4 linked regions of the Drosophila melanogaster genome follow. The protein of the gene in region 4 binds, or shares a complex with, the protein of the main gene of each other region. Each region holds a gene or a part of one and is shown on either strand. Other genes may lie near its edges.

Evidence for each region.
Region 1: eIF3h (region 4) and eIF3m share a complex: the UniProt entries of both Drosophila melanogaster proteins name them as parts of the eukaryotic translation initiation factor 3 (eIF-3) complex.
Region 2: eIF3h (region 4) and eIF3b share a complex: the UniProt entries of both Drosophila melanogaster proteins name them as parts of the eukaryotic translation initiation factor 3 (eIF-3) complex.
Region 3: eIF3h (region 4) and eIF3d1 share a complex: the UniProt entries of both Drosophila melanogaster proteins name them as parts of the eukaryotic translation initiation factor 3 (eIF-3) complex.

The regions. Positions count from the first base shown.
Region 1 is NT_033778.4:14,162,515-14,166,947, forward strand, and holds eIF3m (eukaryotic translation initiation factor 3 subunit m), read right to left. Parts: upstream 2,312-4,433; 5' UTR 2,018-2,311; coding exon 1,973-2,017; intron 1,857-1,972; coding exon 1,677-1,856; intron 1,623-1,676; coding exon 684-1,622; 3' UTR 552-683; downstream 1-551. Other genes in the region: O-fut1 (O-fucosyltransferase 1), read left to right, coding at 1-212; CG8323 (uncharacterized protein), read left to right, coding at 2,764-3,011, 3,075-3,210, 3,629-4,156. UniProt on the Drosophila melanogaster protein: Component of the eukaryotic translation initiation factor 3 (eIF-3) complex, which is involved in protein synthesis of a specialized repertoire of mRNAs and, together with other initiation factors, stimulates binding of mRNA and methionyl-tRNAi to the 40S ribosome.
Region 2 is NT_033778.4:17,534,326-17,539,764, forward strand, and holds eIF3b (eukaryotic translation initiation factor 3 subunit b), read left to right. Parts: upstream 1-1,887; 5' UTR 1,888-2,004; intron 2,005-2,007; exon of another isoform or gene 2,008-2,129; 5' UTR 2,130-2,139; coding exon 2,140-2,254; intron 2,255-2,370; coding exon 2,371-2,686; intron 2,687-2,744; coding exon 2,745-4,297; intron 4,298-4,368; coding exon 4,369-4,457; 3' UTR 4,458-4,738; downstream 4,739-5,439. Other genes in the region: patronin, read right to left, coding at 501-530; Cc2d2a (Coiled-coil and C2 domain containing 2A), read left to right, coding at 4,997-5,439. UniProt on the Drosophila melanogaster protein: RNA-binding component of the eukaryotic translation initiation factor 3 (eIF-3) complex, which is involved in protein synthesis of a specialized repertoire of mRNAs and, together with other initiation factors, stimulates binding of mRNA and methionyl-tRNAi to the 40S ribosome.
Region 3 is NT_033777.3:23,678,205-23,683,035, forward strand, and holds eIF3d1 (eukaryotic translation initiation factor 3 subunit d1), read left to right. Parts: upstream 1-1,834; 5' UTR 1,835-1,986; coding exon 1,987-2,185; intron 2,186-2,307; coding exon 2,308-2,943; intron 2,944-3,012; coding exon 3,013-3,305; intron 3,306-3,381; coding exon 3,382-3,936; 3' UTR 3,937-4,113; downstream 4,114-4,831. Other genes in the region: GILT3 (Gamma-interferon-inducible lysosomal thiol reductase 3), read left to right, coding at 34-147; GILT2 (Gamma-interferon-inducible lysosomal thiol reductase 2), read left to right, coding at 764-823, 890-1,054, 1,180-1,473, 1,532-1,636; CG16710 (uncharacterized protein), read left to right, coding at 4,299-4,374, 4,566-4,831. UniProt on the Drosophila melanogaster protein: mRNA cap-binding component of the eukaryotic translation initiation factor 3 (eIF-3) complex, which is involved in protein synthesis of a specialized repertoire of mRNAs and, together with other initiation factors, stimulates binding of mRNA and methionyl-tRNAi to the 40S ribosome.
Region 4 is NT_033779.5:5,050,690-5,055,243, forward strand, and holds eIF3h (eukaryotic translation initiation factor 3 subunit h), read right to left. Parts: upstream 2,395-4,554; 5' UTR 2,047-2,394; coding exon 1,966-2,046; intron 1,626-1,965; coding exon 948-1,625; intron 882-947; coding exon 624-881; 3' UTR 504-623; downstream 1-503. Other genes in the region: CG9121 (uncharacterized protein), read right to left, coding at 1-188; senju, read left to right, coding at 2,395-2,479, 2,550-2,667, 2,726-3,689; CG14036 (uncharacterized protein), read right to left, coding at 3,982-4,263. UniProt on the Drosophila melanogaster protein: Component of the eukaryotic translation initiation factor 3 (eIF-3) complex, which is involved in protein synthesis of a specialized repertoire of mRNAs and, together with other initiation factors, stimulates binding of mRNA and methionyl-tRNAi to the 40S ribosome.

The sequences.
Region 1 (4,433 bases), on a different chromosome or scaffold from region 4:
GCATGGGCATCAGTGTGCACAAGCTGCCGGAGGATGATCCTTACCTGGACTTGGCCATTCTCGGACAGTCGAACCACTTTATCGGCAACTGTATATCCTCTTACTCGGCATTCGAAAAAAGGGAACGAGATGTGCACGGTTTTCCATCGTACTTCTGGGGATTCCCCAAGGAAAAGGATCGTAAGCATACAAACGTGCACGAGGAGCTGTAATGGAGCAACAGGATTATCTACTTAAATACTCGAATAGGCTATTTTTCGGTTTTCTTTCCTAATACTAGACAGTTTTATTACATTGATTAAGCAATATTCTGGACTTCACTTCTTAAATGGTTAAGGTAAAAGTTTCAACTTACAAATTTAATGAATTTACTTTTGAATGTTACCAATATTTAGTGCTTTTAAAGAATATCAGTATATTTATGTTTTATTCTTTTAGCTTTAATTCTTAAAAAGGATTTTAATGAAACCCGTTAAATGCCTTCAAAAACACTACAACTTAATTGTAAGCTATTAAAGTATTCCTCGCATTTATGAAAACACTTGTTTGCTACCGATTTTACTTATAAATTTATTCAAGTTATCCAGCCCTCTCGCATTCTTGAAAATAATTTAGGTCGTCACTCCAGTGCCCCGAGGCCAGCATTTGTTCATCATCAGTGCAATTTTTTGGAAGTGGTGCGCCTAGTGTATCAGCTTCTGGGATCGAGCCAGATCCAGTTGCGCCGAGGAGACGCTCGTTAGACCCTCGCGCACTGTGCTGAGGTTCTCCTTCCATGCCTGCAGCAAATCGCGAAGCTGCTCCCATTGTGGTGCTCCAAAGGTTCGGTGCATTGTCGATGAGATGTGTACCTTTTGATTGGCCTGATCTAGTCGTGCGCGTACCAGCTTTGTTTTCAGCACCTCGATGACGAAGGGCTCCACCTCGTCTTCGTTGATCTGCAGCTCCTTGGTAAGCGTTTCGAATGTCATCTCCGGGCTGCTCTCGGCCAGCTGCATGAAGGTCAGCAGACGCATCTTCTTCATGTTCTGCTCATGGTTCAATCCTTGCGAGTTGACAAACTCCCTGTGATCCTCGTAGAACTGCACGTACGCTGGCAGCTTCTCGGACACGAAGATGGACAGCAGGTCGTGGATGAGGTCGCCTTCCAAAAAGCGCACAGGCTTCAGCGACAGCAGAGGATCCAGCAGGAATGTATTGGGGTCGGCCAAGGCAGTCACAATGCACTTCATGGCATCCTCACGGGCAACACAAGCATTGTCCGCCGTGTAGGTGCCCAGCAGCTCAATCATAACCTTGGAAGACAGCTCCAGGTTGGTGTCCTTGGTCACGTCGTGCAGCAGGCGGTACAGCTTCTGCATCTGTTCCGACGAAGGTGGGCAGTTGGCAAACTGGGATTTGAGCTGATCCACACCTGAGAAGACCTCCAGCACCTGTTCGCACTGCTTGGCCACCTGGACCAGGTGGTAGTACACATGGTAGCGTAAGGGAGAGGCGGTGTCCAGGTTGTTGAACAGACGCCACAACGACTGAAGGCACACCTTGCCCAATGGAAGATTGGGAGCCTTGGTCATCTTCTCGCAGTAGGCCAGGACAATGTTCTCACCGCGATCCAGGGGTATCTGAAATATTGAAGGTTATTTTTTGTTGCTAATATTGTATTCTGTATTACTCACCGTGATCATGATGGACACAATGCTGTTTAGAATTCCATCAATCTGCGAGGGCTCACCATCCTTAAAGCAAACGTCGCAGACGCCGATGATCTTGTGCAAATCATCCTCCACACCTTTATTGGACTTCTCCGATGAGATTTCGGCTCCCAGCTTCTTGAAATACTTGCGCAGCTCTTGCACCTTTTAATAAATTGCGAATAATATTAGTTTTGTTTTGCAGCAAGAGGAAGACATAACCTCAATTCGGGCAAGGCGCCGCCCGAATTCATGGCTAAAACAGGGCACTTTCACTCTACCTGCTCGTCCAGGGACAGGTCTATGAAAACCGGATGCGAAGTCATGGTTTTGTTAAATGTTATTCCACTTTTTTAAACAAATTCAGCTGAAAATAACACGCACACACGTCTTCGGCGCTTTGACAGCTCGAAAGGAAAGAGAGCGACCAGTGCTGCCGGCCTGGTCCGTTTCCCGCTAATAGCGATGCTCTCAAACAATTGACCGAATTAAATTAAGATGACGTTAACGTGGCCACTTAAAATATATAATATTCCTCTGAAATTCATTCAGTTCAATAAAATTAAAATAGTTATGGCTTTGCAAGTGTATTAATGCTGACATAAAAATCAATTTTATAAATGTTTTGACGGGACTCTAGCTAACAATAAATGTGGGCAAAAGTAGTGTTCCCGGATCTTCTGAAACATATAAGTCACTAAGTGACTTCTTAGCCGTACCGTTACTAACGTTCTAAAACCCGTTTCTCCTGAATTTTAAATTTACCATCCAGCAGTTATTTATTTTACATTTATCACTTTACAGTTAAGCAAAATGACACGATTTTTGTTAAATTGTTAATTTGGCGACAGTCTGGCAACTCCGCTGCTACTAAGTTATATTGCTCGCCAAATTTATATTATATTTGTATAACGGGCGAGAAGAGCAGGAGTAATGCCAGCTAATCGGGGCGGAGAATTATGAAATACACGACACACACGCAGCGTGCGGCTTCCTAGAGCCACAGAGATTCCGCAGCAGGCGGTACAACCGTTACTAGTCAACCACTATCCTCAGCAGAACTCGTGATTACATGGCTACATCGGATTTTGTTCTGGGCGGCCTGGCCTCCGTGGGGGCCACCTTCTTCACCAATCCCATCGAGGTGATCAAGACACGGATCCAGCTGCAGGGCGAGCTGGCGGCACGGGGTACCTATGTGGAGCCCTACAAGGGGATTGTCAATGCCTTCATTACGGTGGCCAAAAATGATGGCATTACGGGGCTCCAAAAGGGCCTCGCACCGGCCTTGTACTTCCAGTTCATCATCAATTCCTTCCGGTGGGGAATTATTTAGTAGCTATATTTTATAATTATTAATCATCTTGAATTTACATTCGCCAGGCTCAGCATTTATTCGGAGGCAATGGAGAGGCGGTGGATGCACAACCGGAAGGGTGAGGTGTCCTACGGAATGGGACTACTGTGGGGCGCCATCGGCGGCGTCGTGGGGTGCTACTTCTCCAGTCCATTTTTCCTGGTACGCCAATTGTGGGAATGCTGCGGGAGGTTACATAAACAAATACATAGTTTATCTAAATGAGCCGCGTGCTCATCAGCATTATGGACCTTCCACAGATAAGAGACTTTATTGGCAATTGTCCATCAGTATCTAAATACTACCATTTCAAGATATCCAGGGAGAAAGTATTATACTTCCAAATATTCCATATTTTTTGACTGTTTATGGTTGTTTGCATTGCTTATTACTTTATGACATAACGCATTTATTGTTAGCCTATTTATACCAAGACATTTTCAAGATCTAGAAACAGAAAAATATTCGCTAAATAACTTAATAAGTATTGTAAACATTAACATATTATCACAGTCAATTCTCTTATGTACAATGTCTATATTTCTATATTATTATTTATGGTCCTTTCTTTTGCATCCAGATCAAAACTCAGCTGCAATCACAAGCCGCCAAGCAAATCGCCGTTGGCTACCAACATGCCCATACTTCCATGACAGATGCCCTGCGTCAGATCTACTCCAGGAATGGAGTACGAGGACTGTGGAGAGGATCTGTGGCCGCATTGCCCAGGGCGGCTTTGGGATCAGGTGCCCAGATAGCCACCTTTGGTAAGACCAAAGCCCTGTTGGTCCAGTACGATCTGGTGACCCAGCCCACGTTGAACTCCTTCTCGGCTGGCTTGATAGCCGGATCCATTATGTCGGTGGCCATAACGCCGCCAGATGTAATCACCACGCGTCTGTACAATCAGGGCGTAGACGCCGAAGGACGCGGTCTTCTTTATCGCGGTTGGCTTGACTGCTTTGTGAAAATCCTACGATCAGAGGGCGTTTATGGTATGTACAAGGGGTTCTGGGCCAACTACTTGCGCATTGCCCCCCACTCAACCCTTGTGCTGCTATTCTTTGACGAGCTGGTCGCCGTACGCACAAAGTATAGTAATCAATGACCCCAAAGATCACTGGCTAGGTAGCATTAATTTAAGTACAAAATTGTTAAAATCGTTTTTACCACCCGGAAATATACACATTGCTTTTTATTATTAAGCCAAGCTTTGATAAACAAATTTGATATGCAAGTGCCGCCGCATACAATTTGTTTGTCTAAATCTGGCTTTAGTCTTTAGTGAGTTAGCTTAATGTCCTAGTTCCAATCTCTTAGATTAGCAAAGCCCCAGAACCAACTTGTGCCTTCATTAAGCTAATTTAAGAGCTCTTCCTGTAGCC
Region 2 (5,439 bases), on a different chromosome or scaffold from region 4:
AGCGTTTCTCCCTTTGCGCCTGGCATTCGCATGCGTAAGCCGTTTTTTTTTTTTTTTATTATTTGTTTTTTCTTTTCATATTTAGCGATTAGGTCATGCAACAGCGGCCAGCTCAAAGCGAGAAAAACGATAACAAATGCCTAATCTTGCAGGGGTAAAGCGTATTTTCCGGCTTCGATTTTTCAGCTGCAGTTTTATGAATGGATGTTGGCTGCTGGCATTATATTCCGATCAGCACAAGCACACCCCACACAACTACCGGTTGTAGTTGTTTGCATTGGCCATCGAAACCAGTCGATTGGTAAGTAGGTGTCGGTCGCATACTAAGCGCTAAGTTGCCGAGCGGCATTACCTCAGCGCACCATTTTGGCCAAGAGAGTAGGTGTTTAGGCCCGCTTCGCCTCCGTTGGAATGTTAATGAGTGCTTTTTGTTTTTAGCTCAAATATGAGTTTATTTTATGTGTAACTTTGTACACGGGAAGCCCTCTTGCTGCGCTTACCTGTCGTATTTCCTGTGTTTCGACATCCATGCTGACGGATTTTCCTGCGACGGACTCCGGCTCTCCGACGCCCGCCACTTCACTTTCCGCACTTTTTGCACTTTTCGCACTCTATGTTTGACCACAACACACCGCTTTTCCTTTTTCACTTGTCTCTTTTCTGCGTGCGAGCGAGTGCGTGTGTGTGTGAGTGTGGCTTGGAGTTTTCCTCAGCTTAGGTGATTTTCACTTGGAGCCTAAACACAAGAAAATACAAAAACACGATTGGCACTTTGTCAAACCACTTGGAAATCGAGAAAAATAACTAATTGCGCACACGCATTGTCAGCGAATTTTTTTCGGCGGGCGGGGCAGGGAAAAAGCTTAAAAGGCAGGCGGGCAGCCGAAAGAAAATGTGAATCATTCACGGAGCGCGACGGTGGGTGGTGGGCGGGGGCGGGGCTGCAGTGCGACAATAACAGAGAACACTTTACAGTTGCCTGTTCGCTTTTCTCGAGATGCTGCTGCATCAGCTGTTGCGATTTGCTCGTCTGGACAAGCCATTTACGCACTTTTCAACCCATCGCAGTGTTCAACCGCCCGTCCATGGTATAATTAATGTTTTCCCAATCCGTTTTAAGCCAGCAAGTTTCCAATTTTCTTTGGGGAACCGCCGACTTAAGTAAATGAAAACATTTTCCTTCGCCTCGCACTGTTGTTGTCCGCCGCCCGCTGTTTGCCTCTCTGTCGCTCCCGCTGCACTGGCAGTGCTGGTGTGCGACACTGCTAGTGTGGTACTGCTCGCACCCACAGCGAACGAGTGGTGACCGAAAAAGCTGTGTATGTGCGCGCGGGTGTGTGTGCGAGAGTGAGTGTGGGGCCTACGCACATTTGGGATGTTTTTCGCACTGATTTGCTGCACCGACGACTTTCGCATGCATTTCACACGGTTCGCGCTCGTCCCCGCTGCATTTTTCAACAGCTTTAATACTACAAATTGGGCTTAAATTGAGAAAATCACGGACACCGATCTGCTCTAAAATCTTACAAATTTTCATGTGAGAGATGGAACCCCAGCCGATGATTACTCGATGCAATCGGTTTTGGCTTATCGGCAACAAATCGATTGATGCCTAATTCTAAAAAATCGGTTGAACATGCTTCAAAACTTCCATCGCTAGAGTTGCAAGCGGAAAAAATGTATGTATTATTAAAGAACGATTAAACTAGTTGTTATAGGTTATACTTTGCTTAATACATATTGACTAATATTAAATAATTGTATGTACATGAAATACAAAATGATAATATTTAGCCGTTTTAACACATTATCACCAGATAAGCACCTAAGATTCTGTTGTTAAGGATCCATAAGAGAAGGATCCAGATATTATTGTCATTGCTGTCAAGCAAACATATGCAGTATAAATACAAATAAATCTAAGAAACAGTAAATTAAAATATATGCATGTACATATGTATTTATAAATATTAATAAAAGTTACCCCGCCGCGTTATCAACGCAGTGAGTAGTTGGCAACACTAACCATTCACACAAAACAGTGTTTCGCCTTGACTGGCAAATGCGGCATCTCGCTCTTCCTTTTTCACTTTGTGCTTGTGTGTTTAATGACGGAAAATTGCAAATAGATCGCTGAATATGGCCAAGAAGAAAAGCGAGGAGCACTCCGGTACGGATGCGAACGACAGTGATTACCAGGAGGAGCCGAACTTTGACGATCCGCCCGGGTTCGTGGACAACATTAGTGATGAAGGTGAAAATCACCGACTGCCAGCGCATCACACGCGGCGATCTAACCTCAATCCGTGTGCGGTGTGCGAAAGTTTGCATTTGCATATCTAATTAAATATATTCGTGATGCACTTTCAGATCTGCTGGGCGACATGTTGGCCCAGCGCCCCTCGGAGGCCGATGGCGTCGAGAGTGTGGTGGTAGTGGACAATATCCCAAAGGTGGAGCCGGTGCGCCTGGAGAAGCTGAAGTTGGTCATCAACAAGCTGTTTTCGAACTACGGAGAAATCGTCAATGTGGTCTATCCCGTCGACGAGGAGGGCAAGACCAAGGGCTACGCCTTCATGGAGTACAAGCAGGCCAGACAGGCGGAGGAAGCCGTCAAGAAGCTCAACAATCATCGCCTAGACAAAAACCACACCTTTGCCGTCAATCTCTTCACCGATTTCCAAAAGTAAGTTCTCCTTGCATCCGCATCAAGCAATGAGATTAATAAAATTTAATCTTGGCAGGTACGAAAACATCCCCGAGAAGTGGGAGCCGCCAACCGTGCAGACCTTCAAAGTGCAGAGCGATCTATACAACTTCATCAATGACCCGGACACTTATGACCAGTACTGCGTGGCAGCGGAGACCGCTCCCAACTGCGTGCAGGTTGGTTTCTGGCAAAACGTATTGCCCGAACCCTTTGAGCTGGAGACTCGCGAACGCTTCACCGACACCTTCGTCAAGTGGTCGCCCCTGGGTACTTATGTAGTCACCTTCCACAAACCCGGTGTGGCCATCTGGGGTGGCAGTAGCTTCCAGAAGATTCAGAAGTTTCCCCATCCTGGTACCCAATTCGTTGAGTTTTCGCCCTGCGAGAATTACCTAGTGACTTACGGACCGACACCCACGGGCCAAAAGATCATCATCTGGGACATTCGCACTGGAGCCGAGAAACGTTCGTTTGTTGCCGATGGCATGTCGGTTCTTTCTATGTTCCGCTGGTCGCACGACGACAAGTTTGTGGCCCGCATGGGCGAGAATTCGATCCACATCTACGAGACACCCTCTTTCTATCTTCTGGACCTGAAGTCCATTAAGATTCCCGGCATTCGTGGCTTCTCTTGGTCCCCCACAGACAACGTGATTGCCTACTGGGTGGAGGAGCAGAACCAAATACCCGCCCGCGTTACCCTGATGGAGATCCCCAAGAAGCGTGAGATCCGTAACAAGAACCTTTTCCATGTGGCCGATTGCAAGTTACATTGGCAAAAGTCCGGCGACTATCTGTGCGTTAAGGTAGATCGTTACTCAAAGTTGAAGAAGGATAAGAAGGACCTGGACGTCAAGTTTCTGGGCATGTTCTACAACTTTGAGATCTTCCACATGCGCGAGAAGGAGATTCCCGTCGACTCTGTGGAGATTCGTGAGCTTATTTTGGCCTTTGCCTGGGAGCCCGTCGGCAACAAGTTCTCCATCATTCACGGCGAGACCAACTCGTCGAATGTGAGCTTCTACGAGGTGAACAAGGGCGTTAAGCCCAGCTTGGTGAAGCGTCTAGAAAAGAAGTCATGCACACATCTGTTCTGGTCGCCACGCGGTCAGTTTATCGTAATGGCCAACCTCACCATGGGTACCTTCGAGTTTGTGGACTCCACCAACGATTACATCATCACGGCATCGCCCGATCATTTCCGCGCTTCCGAGGTCGAGTGGGATCCCACTGGACGCTACGTTGTGACTGGTGTCTCGTCATGGAAGGTGAAAGAGGATACCGGCTTCAACATGTACACGTTCCAGGGCCGCATCATCAAGCGTACCATTCTTAAGAACTTTGTGCAGTTCTTGTGGCGCCCGCGTCCTCCCACCCTGCTTAGCGAGGAGAAGCAGAAGGAGATCAAGAAGAACTTGAAGAAGTACTACGCTGCCTTCGAACAAAAGGATCGCCTGCGCCTTACCCGTGCCTCCAAGGAGCTGCTCGAGAAGCGCTCGCAGCTGCGCGAGACCTTTATGGAGTACCGCAACAAGCGTATTGCCGAGTGGGCGGAGCAGAAGAGTCGTCGCATCATGCTGCGAGGGCGTAAGTATTCTCAAGAAACAAATTGTTTAAAATTTGCCGATTTCTATATGTATATTATCCTTACGCAACAGATGTGGACACAGACAACCTGGAAACTGACGAAGTGGATGAAGAAATTGTTGAATTTTTAGTCAAGGAAGAAGTCACTCTGCTGGAGTAGACGACCCCCTCAACGCCACTCCAACGCTGTCGTCCCCTGCCTACTTCGAAGCGATCCTGTCGCCTCACATTTCGTGTCCGGGACGCGTCTACGCCCTGGTTGATGCCAGGGCCCTAATCCATTATCCAATACAGTAGCACGCGTCTGCTTGCAAACAACTCTAAGCGGAACCTTTGCCTATACATACAACATACGAACATACGAATTATAAGCCCAAAAGTAAACTTCAACTCAATCAGCAATTGCGAACATAACATCTAATTAAATGACCTTTCTTGCGCACACCCCTCCTCCTTCCAGTATGCCTAATAGTAGATTTGCCATGTATTTGTATGTAAACAGCAAAAAGAAAACGAAAACAAAATACGTTTGGGGTATGTTTTTTTGATGTTTCATTCAAGGCGATAGACGATAGATAGCTGGTGGTGAGCAGGTGTGTAACAGTGGTCAAGTCAGTTGCCCATGGCAACCAGTTGAAAGGTCAAAGCAGGCGGAATATTGTTTGCCTGGCATTTTCCGTTTGTAATAACCTATGTAACATGGAAGCCGCTCTATCCAGGAAGACTGCAAAGAAGAAACGCAAGACCCATACCACCAGAGGGTATCGGAAAAGGGAGCAGGAGGTGCAAAAGTTGATAAGGGCAACGGAAGGCAGAATCTCTGGTCCAGAACACGACATGGAGGCACTTAGCCTGCAGTTCTTTCATGGATTTGAGGGTGAGATGCAGCAGGAGAACGATTTCGCTGTTGAAGATTGCCAGGAGAGTGACGAAGATTCGGGTGGGGAACTGGCTGAGGAACCAACGGATTCGCCCTCCCAGACATTTATACATATCGATCTGCACGATCCTCCTCTGGCCTGGGGTCAGCTATTCAAGCAGCGCCACTACTATGATGAGAGCTTACTTTACCGACCGAGTAATACCCTGCACTTTCAGTTGCATTTGAGCGATTTGAGTGAGTTGAAGGACTCCCAGATCCG
Region 3 (4,831 bases), on a different chromosome or scaffold from region 4:
AGACTTAACTTAACATTACCCTCTGATCCGCAGGACTTTGATCCTTACGACCAGAGAAGCATTCGCAACAACTTCGAAAGACACTTCTGTCGGCAGTATCTGAAAAAGTTCAACATCAAACTGCCCACTTGTTCCGCAATTTTGTAAACTTTTATGTAATGTACTGAGTAATTTAACTGTTTCAATGTTCCAAGACCAATAAACAATAATTATAACCAACTGGAGTGTTTGCTTACTCGCTGACTCACTTGGGGCCAATAAAAATTTACATGTGTATAGTATATACATATCAGCTTATCAGTCATGTTTTTGTATACAGATTCTAATCAGAAACAGCTGTCTGGTGGTCTAAAAATAAGATTAAAACCCCGCTGCTCAGTAAGTTTTCCGTAGTCAGCGCATAAATGTAAAGGGGAAAATGCTGGTTGACAGCAGGGGCGTCGAATTGGTTGGCTAGTCACACCCTTTATCTATATATTTATATTAATTTTTTCAAAAGCGGATATATTACAGAAAAATTATAAAAAACAAGCGAAAAGTCACCCTACTATTGCAATACAAATAATTATTTTTTTTTTAACTTATATGATTTTTGAGCCCCCCTTGAGCATTTTCTAACCACGCCACTGGCCGCTTCGAATTTGACGAAACGCAGTGACAACGCTGCGCATTACAAGTCCCGGAATTATTTCAGTGTCGAGCGTTCGCTGGCGTTGAGCGGCCGAATATTTCAAGATCAGCTCGGGATTAAACTGAATTTGCCATGAGGGCGGCTGTCTTTGTGTGTCTGCTGCTGGGATGGGTGGGCGTGGCCACGCCAAGGGTAAGTGACCCAGTTGATCGGACTGAATCCCGAATTGCGACGCTCCCATTGATCGTGACTTTGCAGCGTTTGCGCGGACCGCAAGCTGACCGACTGGCGATCACCCTGTACTACGAAGCATTGTGTCCCTACTGCATGGAGTTCGTGACCACGCAGCTCAATCCCTCGATGGTCCGTCAGGATCGACTTCCATTCACTGATCTTACGCTGGTTCCTTATGGAAATGCCAGGGTAGGTTTCATTTTTCGTAGCTTAAACTAGTAGTTATAGTACAAGTACATAGTATAGCTCAATTTGAAGTTTTAGAGTGTCAATCAGCGTTAATCCGCACTTAAACTTCGCTTAATCCCCTCCAGACGAACGATGACGGAAATGTGGAGTGCCAGCACGGAGTGATGGAGTGCGAATTGAACGCGTGGCACGCCTGCATACTGGAGCACCATGACATTGCCCAATCCCTCAAGCTGATCGCCTGCATGATGAGGGGTAAGAAGAACAGGCTGGAAAAGTGCGCTGACCACTATCAAATCGACGTGGGCGATGTCAAAAATTGCAAGAAAACGCGACAGGTGAACGACATTCTGAGGAAGTACGGCAAGGAAACGGCCAAGGTCTCATTTCAGGGAGTGCCAGCCGTAGCTCTGGATAACGTGAGTTTAAATGCGAAAGAAATTCATGAAATCTAAAATAAAACTTTGTGATTTTAAGGTTTATAACGCGGATCTATCAGCAAACTTAACTGATCATTTTGATGCCATTTTTTGCGCCAAGTATAAGGAAAAGTTCAATAAGCAGCTAAATAATTGTCAATAAATATTGTGTTCATTTAACAATACATTTTTTTATTAAAAAATATTTTTTGCATTTTCTTTGTAATTAAATCGTAAAATCAGGTTCTGAAAAATGAATAGTTCGAATTTTTAGTTTTCCCGCCCAGCAGTGGCGCCATCTATGACAGCATGCTGCCAGACCTTTGAACATTCGCTACGATTTTAGTATTTTTCTTTGGCGGTGGTATATTTCAACGCGACAACGGTCCCACTCAACTATTTTCGCAACACGCGACGATACGAATTTTCCACATTTCTTTGTTGATTTCTGGAAAATCGCTGTATATAGACCGAATAGCCGACTGCAGACTGAGCACCAGGTAAACGCGCGAGATGAGCGAGACCATAAACACCGCGGCTCAGTTCCCGAGCTTCGAGAAGCCGACCGTGCAGTTCAATGAAAAGGGCTGGGGTCCCTGCGAGCTGCCCGATACGTTCAAGGATGTGCCGTACCAGCCGTTCAGCAAGAACGATCGTCTGGGCAAGATCTGCGACTGGACGAATACGTCGAACAACGACAAGAAGTACCAGAGTGAGTTTATTCCCCACCCGAAACCGACCCACAAAATACTAATCGCCGAAAGTGAGGTTAGGTAGGTGTGTCGTGGCATGATATTGTTGCTAACATATTGGTGGTTGGTATTCCATTCGCAGACAAGTATGCCTCCAGCTTTGGCACGGGCATTCAGTACTCGTACTACCATGAGGAGGACGAGACAACCTTCCACCTGGTGGACACGGCCCGCGTCCAGAAGCCGCCGCACCAGCGCGGCCGGTTCCGCAACATGAGGAATTCGCGTTCCGGTCGTGGCAGGAATGCCCGCGGTGGCCTTAATACTCACGGCATGACGACGCTCAGCGGCAAGAATGTAAAGGCCCGCGATCCGCGCCATGGTCGCGGCATGGGCAAGAAGTTCGGTCATCGCGGACCACCACCAAAGATGCGCGAATCTTCGGTGGCCGTCCGCGCCGATTGGGCATCCATCGAGGAGATGGACTTCCCGCGACTCATCAAGCTGTCGCTGCCCAACATCAAGGAGGGCGTCGATATTGTCACCTGCGGCACGTTGGAGTACTACGACAAGACCTACGACCGCATCAATGTGAAGAACGAGAAGCCGCTGCAGAAGATCGATCGCATCGTGCATACGGTGACCACCACAGACGATCCCGTCATCCGGCGTTTGTCTAAGACCGTCGGCAATGTCTTCGCCACGGACGCCATCCTGGCCACCATCATGTGCTCTACGCGATCGAACTATTCCTGGGATATTGTCATCGAGAAAGTTGGTATGTTAAATGAAATACGAAATATAATAATAATAAGAGAAATAAATAATAATTGTAACCTTATTTTAGGCGACAAGGTGTTCATGGACAAGCGTGACCACACCGAGTTCGATCTGTTGACCGTGAACGAGAGCAGCGTGGAACCACCGACCGACGACGACAGCTCATGCAACTCCCCTCGCAACCTGGCCATCGAGGCGACTTTCATTAACCACAACTTTAGCCAGCAGGTGCTTAAGACTGGAGACCAGGAACCCAAATACAAGTTCGAGGAAAGCAACCCTTTCATCAGCGAGGACGAAGATATCCAAGTCGCCAGCGTGGGCTACCGCTACAAGAAGTGGGAGCTGGGAAGCGATATTGTAAGTGTTGCATAATCCAACTTTAAAGTTGGAATATTTTTCTATATTATGTTAAACTATTGTCTTATACTTTTAGGTCCTGGTAGCGCGTTGCGAGCACGATGGTGTCCTGCAGACGCCAAGCGGCGAGCCGCAGTTCATGACTATCAAGGCACTCAACGAGTGGGACTCGAAGTTGGCCAATGGCGTGGAATGGCGTCAAAAGTTGGACACGCAGCGCGGTGCTGTGCTCGCCAACGAGCTGAGGAACAACGCATGCAAGCTGGCCAAGTGGACTGTGCAGGCCGTCCTGGCCGGGTCCGATCAGCTAAAGCTCGGCTATGTGTCGCGTATCAATCCGAGAGATCACTCGCGTCACGTCATCCTCGGCACGCAGCAGTTCAAGCCGCATGAATTTGCCACTCAGATCAACCTGAGCATGGACAACGCCTGGGGAATCCTGAGATGCATCATCGATCTGGTGATGAAGCAGAAGGATGGCAAATACCTGATCATGAAGGACCCCAACAAGCCGATCATCCGTCTGTACGACATCCCAGACAATACTTTCGACTCCGATGACTCGGACGATGGCGAGGGCGATGACGAAGGTTTCCAGCAGGTCTACAACTACGCGCACAACAAGATTTAGACGCCACGCCCCCCTACTCCTGCATCCCTTCCAGTCTTGGGCTCTTTTGCCACAACCCGCTAAGAATAACCACAACTGATGTCCTCTAAAGGAAAAGGTCATGTTATAGGCCCTAGCTTAAGCATTTGTATTCGATTTAAATTCAGATATTTCCTAGTAAATCACAGAGGGCGAAACAATACATGAATTTTTATTGGTCCAGGTCTAATGCCGGGTACTTGTGATAAAAACTTTCGACTGAAACACCGAGGTCTTGTACGTAAATGACTGACTCATTTCCCGGACTCATATATAGTAAGCTGATTGTGCGTGTCGGGCATCTAGTTAAGATTTAGACATTGTTTAAACTCTGACGGTTAAAGATGGTCTTCCTACAAAGAGTGTACATATCCTTCCTGGTCCTGCATACTCAATTGCTGATGTACCTGGCTGAGTCTGGTAATATATGTTGCAAGTACTCCACATTGTATACGTTATAACATTCAAGAAAATGATTCATTTGGATATGGGTATTTCCTTGAATTTTAAAATATAAATAGCTTTGTTTCGTCCAATCATTATCTAAACATCCAATTAAAATGACTCACATAATATAATATTTATTAATATCCAATTCTTTACTGTATCAGAATATCCGCCTTGTAATCTGGATGAGAAATGCATTAGTCTAGCCCGCTGCACATCACTCTTGCCCTTTCTGAAGCCCCACAACATGACGCCAGCCGAGAAGGCGGTATTCGAGGACAGATATTGCGGCTATGGCCCCAAGGGGCAGGAATTATTGGACAGAGTTCTCATCTGCTGCCCAAATATGGGACACATTTTGCCAAATACCCAGATATGTGGACCAATCATGCCGGCTTATCGAATTTTCGGAGGAGAGGAGACGCAACCC
Region 4 (4,554 bases):
CAGGATTGAAGCAGCAGCTCCAACAGTTCGGCATCGCCCAGAATGGCCGCCGTGCCCACGGCAGTGCGTCCGCAAGTGGGCGATACATACGAGGCCTGGGCACCTTGCATGATGCAGCCCAGAGCCTGCTCGAAATCTCCGCTCTGTACGGCGGTTAGCAGGCGTTCGTTGAGGTCGTAGGACAGCATTTTGCCATCGGGTTAGTAATTTAGTTAGTTAGGCTAACTGAAGCTGGTTAGCGAAAAGGCGAAGCGAAAAGAACAAACCAAATGATAAGCAGCTGCTTGTGGGGTGGTGTGAAAAGTGCGTCGATGTCGTCAGTGGCAGCAACACTCCCCCGGAAAGTCTCATCGAGAAGTGAAACCAAACATCCGGCGTGCGCAGAAGCAGTACCAATTTTTGGCTGCATAGCGGGTGGTGGTTTTCTTTTTTTGGGGCGGTTTGAATTGGCCATTCTATTGAGCAAATGGAGAGTACAATAAAGAAGAAATCAGCTGGCAGTTCGCTTCCAAGCCCACTCATCGCTTGTTTGGTTTATTTTCGACGTCTGTGTGTGCAGTTGCTATGTTTGTGGGTAGTGAATGTTGTTGCCTCAGCTTAAAAAACGCTTAACATTAGCTAATCTATTTGGTTTCCTTTGCTTCCTTGGCAATTTGCAGCGATTCCGTGATGAAGAGTTTGGCCAGCGATTGCGAACAGAATTGTGCGATATGCTGGGCGTGGGTATTGATCTGGCCAGAGGTTATGGTGGCCGTCAGGCGGTTGGGCGCAGTCATGGGGCGGAACTGTTTGATCACTTCCTCCTCTGGCACCGTGGGCTCTCCCTTCGATGTGCGAACGGCGTTCTCGGCGGCCAGCTTAGCCAGAGCACGGTGCTTCTCCTAAAAAATATAAATGCAAGGAAAGCGATTAGGAATTTTTACATATTTAATTATATTGCTACGTACCGTATCCTGCTTGAAGACCACCTGCTGGTACTTGTTATAGCGCACTGCCTCCTGGTACAACTCGTCGACGCGCTCGATCAGGCTACGCATTTGGTTCTCCAATACGGTGGCGGTGCCCAGGTCCAGGAAGTTGTGCCCCTTGTCCTCGGGCAGCAGCTCGTTCAGCTCGCTCATCATAATGTTGGTCAGCGGCGAGTTCTTGATCACAATGGGAATCTCGGCGAAGAGGTTCTCGTAGCCGACCTTCAGGGTGCGGAATGCCTCTGGAGTGAAGTCGCCATCCTTGTACATCTGAATGGCCTGCGGAGTAAGGCGGTAGGCCTTCAAGCACAGGAATCCGCGGGATGACTTCTGCGTATCGTAGACGACAACGACGGACTCTTCAATGCTGGTCTGGTAGTGGTACTGCGATTCCAACAGAGCCATTGACAGGCTGTTGCCCACGTCGGAGCTCTGGTACCAGCCCACATGGAGATGATCTACGTTGACGCGACGCAGGCGACGCATCACGGTCAGCTGGTACATCTCCTCGTCCATGGTCTCATCGCCGCTCTTGGGAAACGGGAAGCAGTTGGTGATCTCCAGGCACTTGTCTACCACCAGACCGAGCAGGGCGCCCTGGGCGAGGTCCATGTTGCTCGACTCCTCATGGCAGTGCTTCACCATCTTCATGACGGCCTGCAAGGTAAAGTGATCGTAGTAATTATGTTCCAAAATCAATTAGCGACAGACAACTATTTGCATTTGAACAGGGGCGTGGAAAGTAGATATATTTCGGACTTTCTTTTAATAGTTTCTCTGAAGAAAACATTTGACTGAAGTTTTTTGTGCTATGGTAATGAAGAGACCGGCCCCCTTTTCCTTATAGCTCTACGCCCATGTCCTCACGAACACCCATACAAACACACACAAAGCACGCAAATTTCTGAGACAGCGCGTGGCATTAACTTTTCCGGCTTTCGCGCCGGTTCCCACGGGCCAATCTCGGCCAGGTCTTTTGGCCAACAGCACTACTCACCAGTCCGTCGCATTGGACGTAGTTAATGGTATTATCCGAATCCTCGGTGCGAGCAGCATGACGATTTGCGCGATTTGCCATGTTGACGAATTGTAAGCGAAAAGACCCACGACGTGAACTCGGCTGCAGTGGTAAAAGGGCGTTTCGCAACACCACAATTTTTGTGTGGGTTGAAGTGTTGAAAAGCGTGCACTGCTTTAAAATCAGCTGTTCGGGCGAGCGATAAAAAAAGGCCCAAAATATATTTTGTTTATCAGTGGAAAAGCAACAGAAACAAACTCAAAATTGTACTTCCTAGAAAACCGAGAAACGGCCCACTTGTCACGAACGAGCGGAACGGTACTGATAACTGCGGTTGCCGCAACTTGTAGCTAGTCTTAGTTCTCTTCGCATTAGCAACGCAACGCTGGCAGTACGAAGACCGCAGAAATGTCAACTAATTGGCGTGAATTGTTCCCCACCAAGCTCACATTTGTGATCTTCCTGTTGTACATGTCCCTATTCATAGGACAGGGTATGCAGCTGCCTTATTAAGGCTTTTTACGCAAGCCAAAGCCGCACCCTAATTCCTGTCTATTTTGCAGGCATCTTTGTCACAGCATCTCAGGAATCGAATAACTCCTATGGCTACAATACCGTCACGGTTGTGCTGCTAACCGAGGTCTTTAAATTGATAGTCTCCACCTGTCTGTATTGCCGAGAGTGAGTAGGAGTGGAGGCGCTCCTTTGTCTCGCTATTAAACCGCGATTTCATTCACAGCAACAACCTACGCTCCCTGGTGCGCGATGTTCAGAAGGATCGGAATGTATTGGGCTTGTACATGGTGCCCGCCTTTCTCTACTGCCTGTACAACAATTTGGCCTTTGTCAACTTGGCCACATTCGATCCCACCACCTACTATCTGCTACTGCAGCTACGTGTCGTTGTCACGGGCATACTATTCCAAATTATCTTCAAGAAGTACCTGTCGCAAAGGCAATGGATCTCCCTCATACTGCTGACACTCGGCTGTATGATGAAGCAGGTCGATTTCGGCAGCTTCTACAGCGATGCGAATGATGACAGCGAGTCCGCAGCCATACAGCAGCAGCTGCAATCACATAATAAAACAACTTCTGCAGAGACGCACGCTCACGGCAAGAACATGTCCGGCTTCGATTTTAGCCTGAGTGCCGTCTTCATTCTGGCACAGACAATTTGCTCTTGTCTGGCGGGCGTTTACAATGAGTATCTGCTTAAAGATAAGGGAGCCGATGTGAATATCTTTGTACAGAATGTCTTCATGTACCTGGACTCGATTGTCTGCAATGCAGTCATCCTCTTGCTGCGCGGCGAGCTCCTTGATGCCTTTAGTCCGCAGAATCTGGGCAGTATTATGCGCTTTAGCGTGCTAATCATTATTGTTAACAATGCGGCTATTGGCATTGTCACGAGTTTCTTCCTCAAGTACATGAACTCCATTCTAAAGACCTTCGCGAGCGCTCTGGAGTTGCTCTTCACGGCAGTCCTATGCTACTTCCTCTTCTCCATACCCATTTACATGAACACCGCGCTGGCCATCGCGGTTGTATCCTACGCCATCTATCTCTACACCCAAAGCCCGGTGGTTAATTTGGGCAAGGTGCGTCCGCTGTCCAATTTAAGTGATGCCACGACCAAATCAACGGATAAACGAAAGCTGATCGACGAGGAAGCGGCAGAATCGGACCTCGATATGGTGTAATGCTGTAGCTTGTCCTAGACGTAATCTTAGACTGTAAATAGTTGTGGAAAAGTGCCTGCAAATGTTTTAAACGCCAGACGAATGTATTTGACCCCAGGCTTTGTGCAATGCAATAGCAACAGGCTTGTAAATACCAAAACTTTTGCTCCTCTAGTTTAAGATTCTTATTTTAATCAGAACATAAATGCAATCAAACGAATATTGTGCATGCTTCTTCAAGAAGCTTTTTATTTTATGGTTCATATACTATCACATATGTACATGGTATATTTGGATGCCTGCTTGTCTTAGCCTAAAATGGTGTGTCCACATCATGTCCATCTTCCTGTTTGGGCGGTATGCGACTACGAAGCGCTATCTGCACCGCCTGGTTTTCGATGCTGCGGAGATAGTAGTCACACTCCTTCAGATGCTTCTCCATGTCCTGGACTCGGTGTGTGGCGTTGTACTTGCAGGTCTGCAGCGGCGGTCCACAGTAGTTCTTCTCGCACTTAATTAAGTGCTTGGGCATCCGGAAGAGCAAGATGCGGTGCGATTTGTCGTAAGGGCAAATTCCGTACTCGAAATCGGACATTTTGAAAAAGTCAAGAGCCGTTTGTCAAAACAACAAATTCATAAAGCTTAAGGTACCGCTATGTTTTAAAGTTTTAGTTATCGGTTGTGTTATCGGAAGTAAGGAATTTTCGATTTATTTATTTTTCAAACCAGCTGTCAAGATATTGACCTTATACGGAATACCCCCGATGAATATAGGGTCACACTGAGCAGACGCGCGTAAACCACCCCGTCCCTCCCTTTTACTTTTCATTCAGCTTGAAAATTTCATAGAGTTCGGTCAATTGTCAAATCTGCTCAAAACCACTTA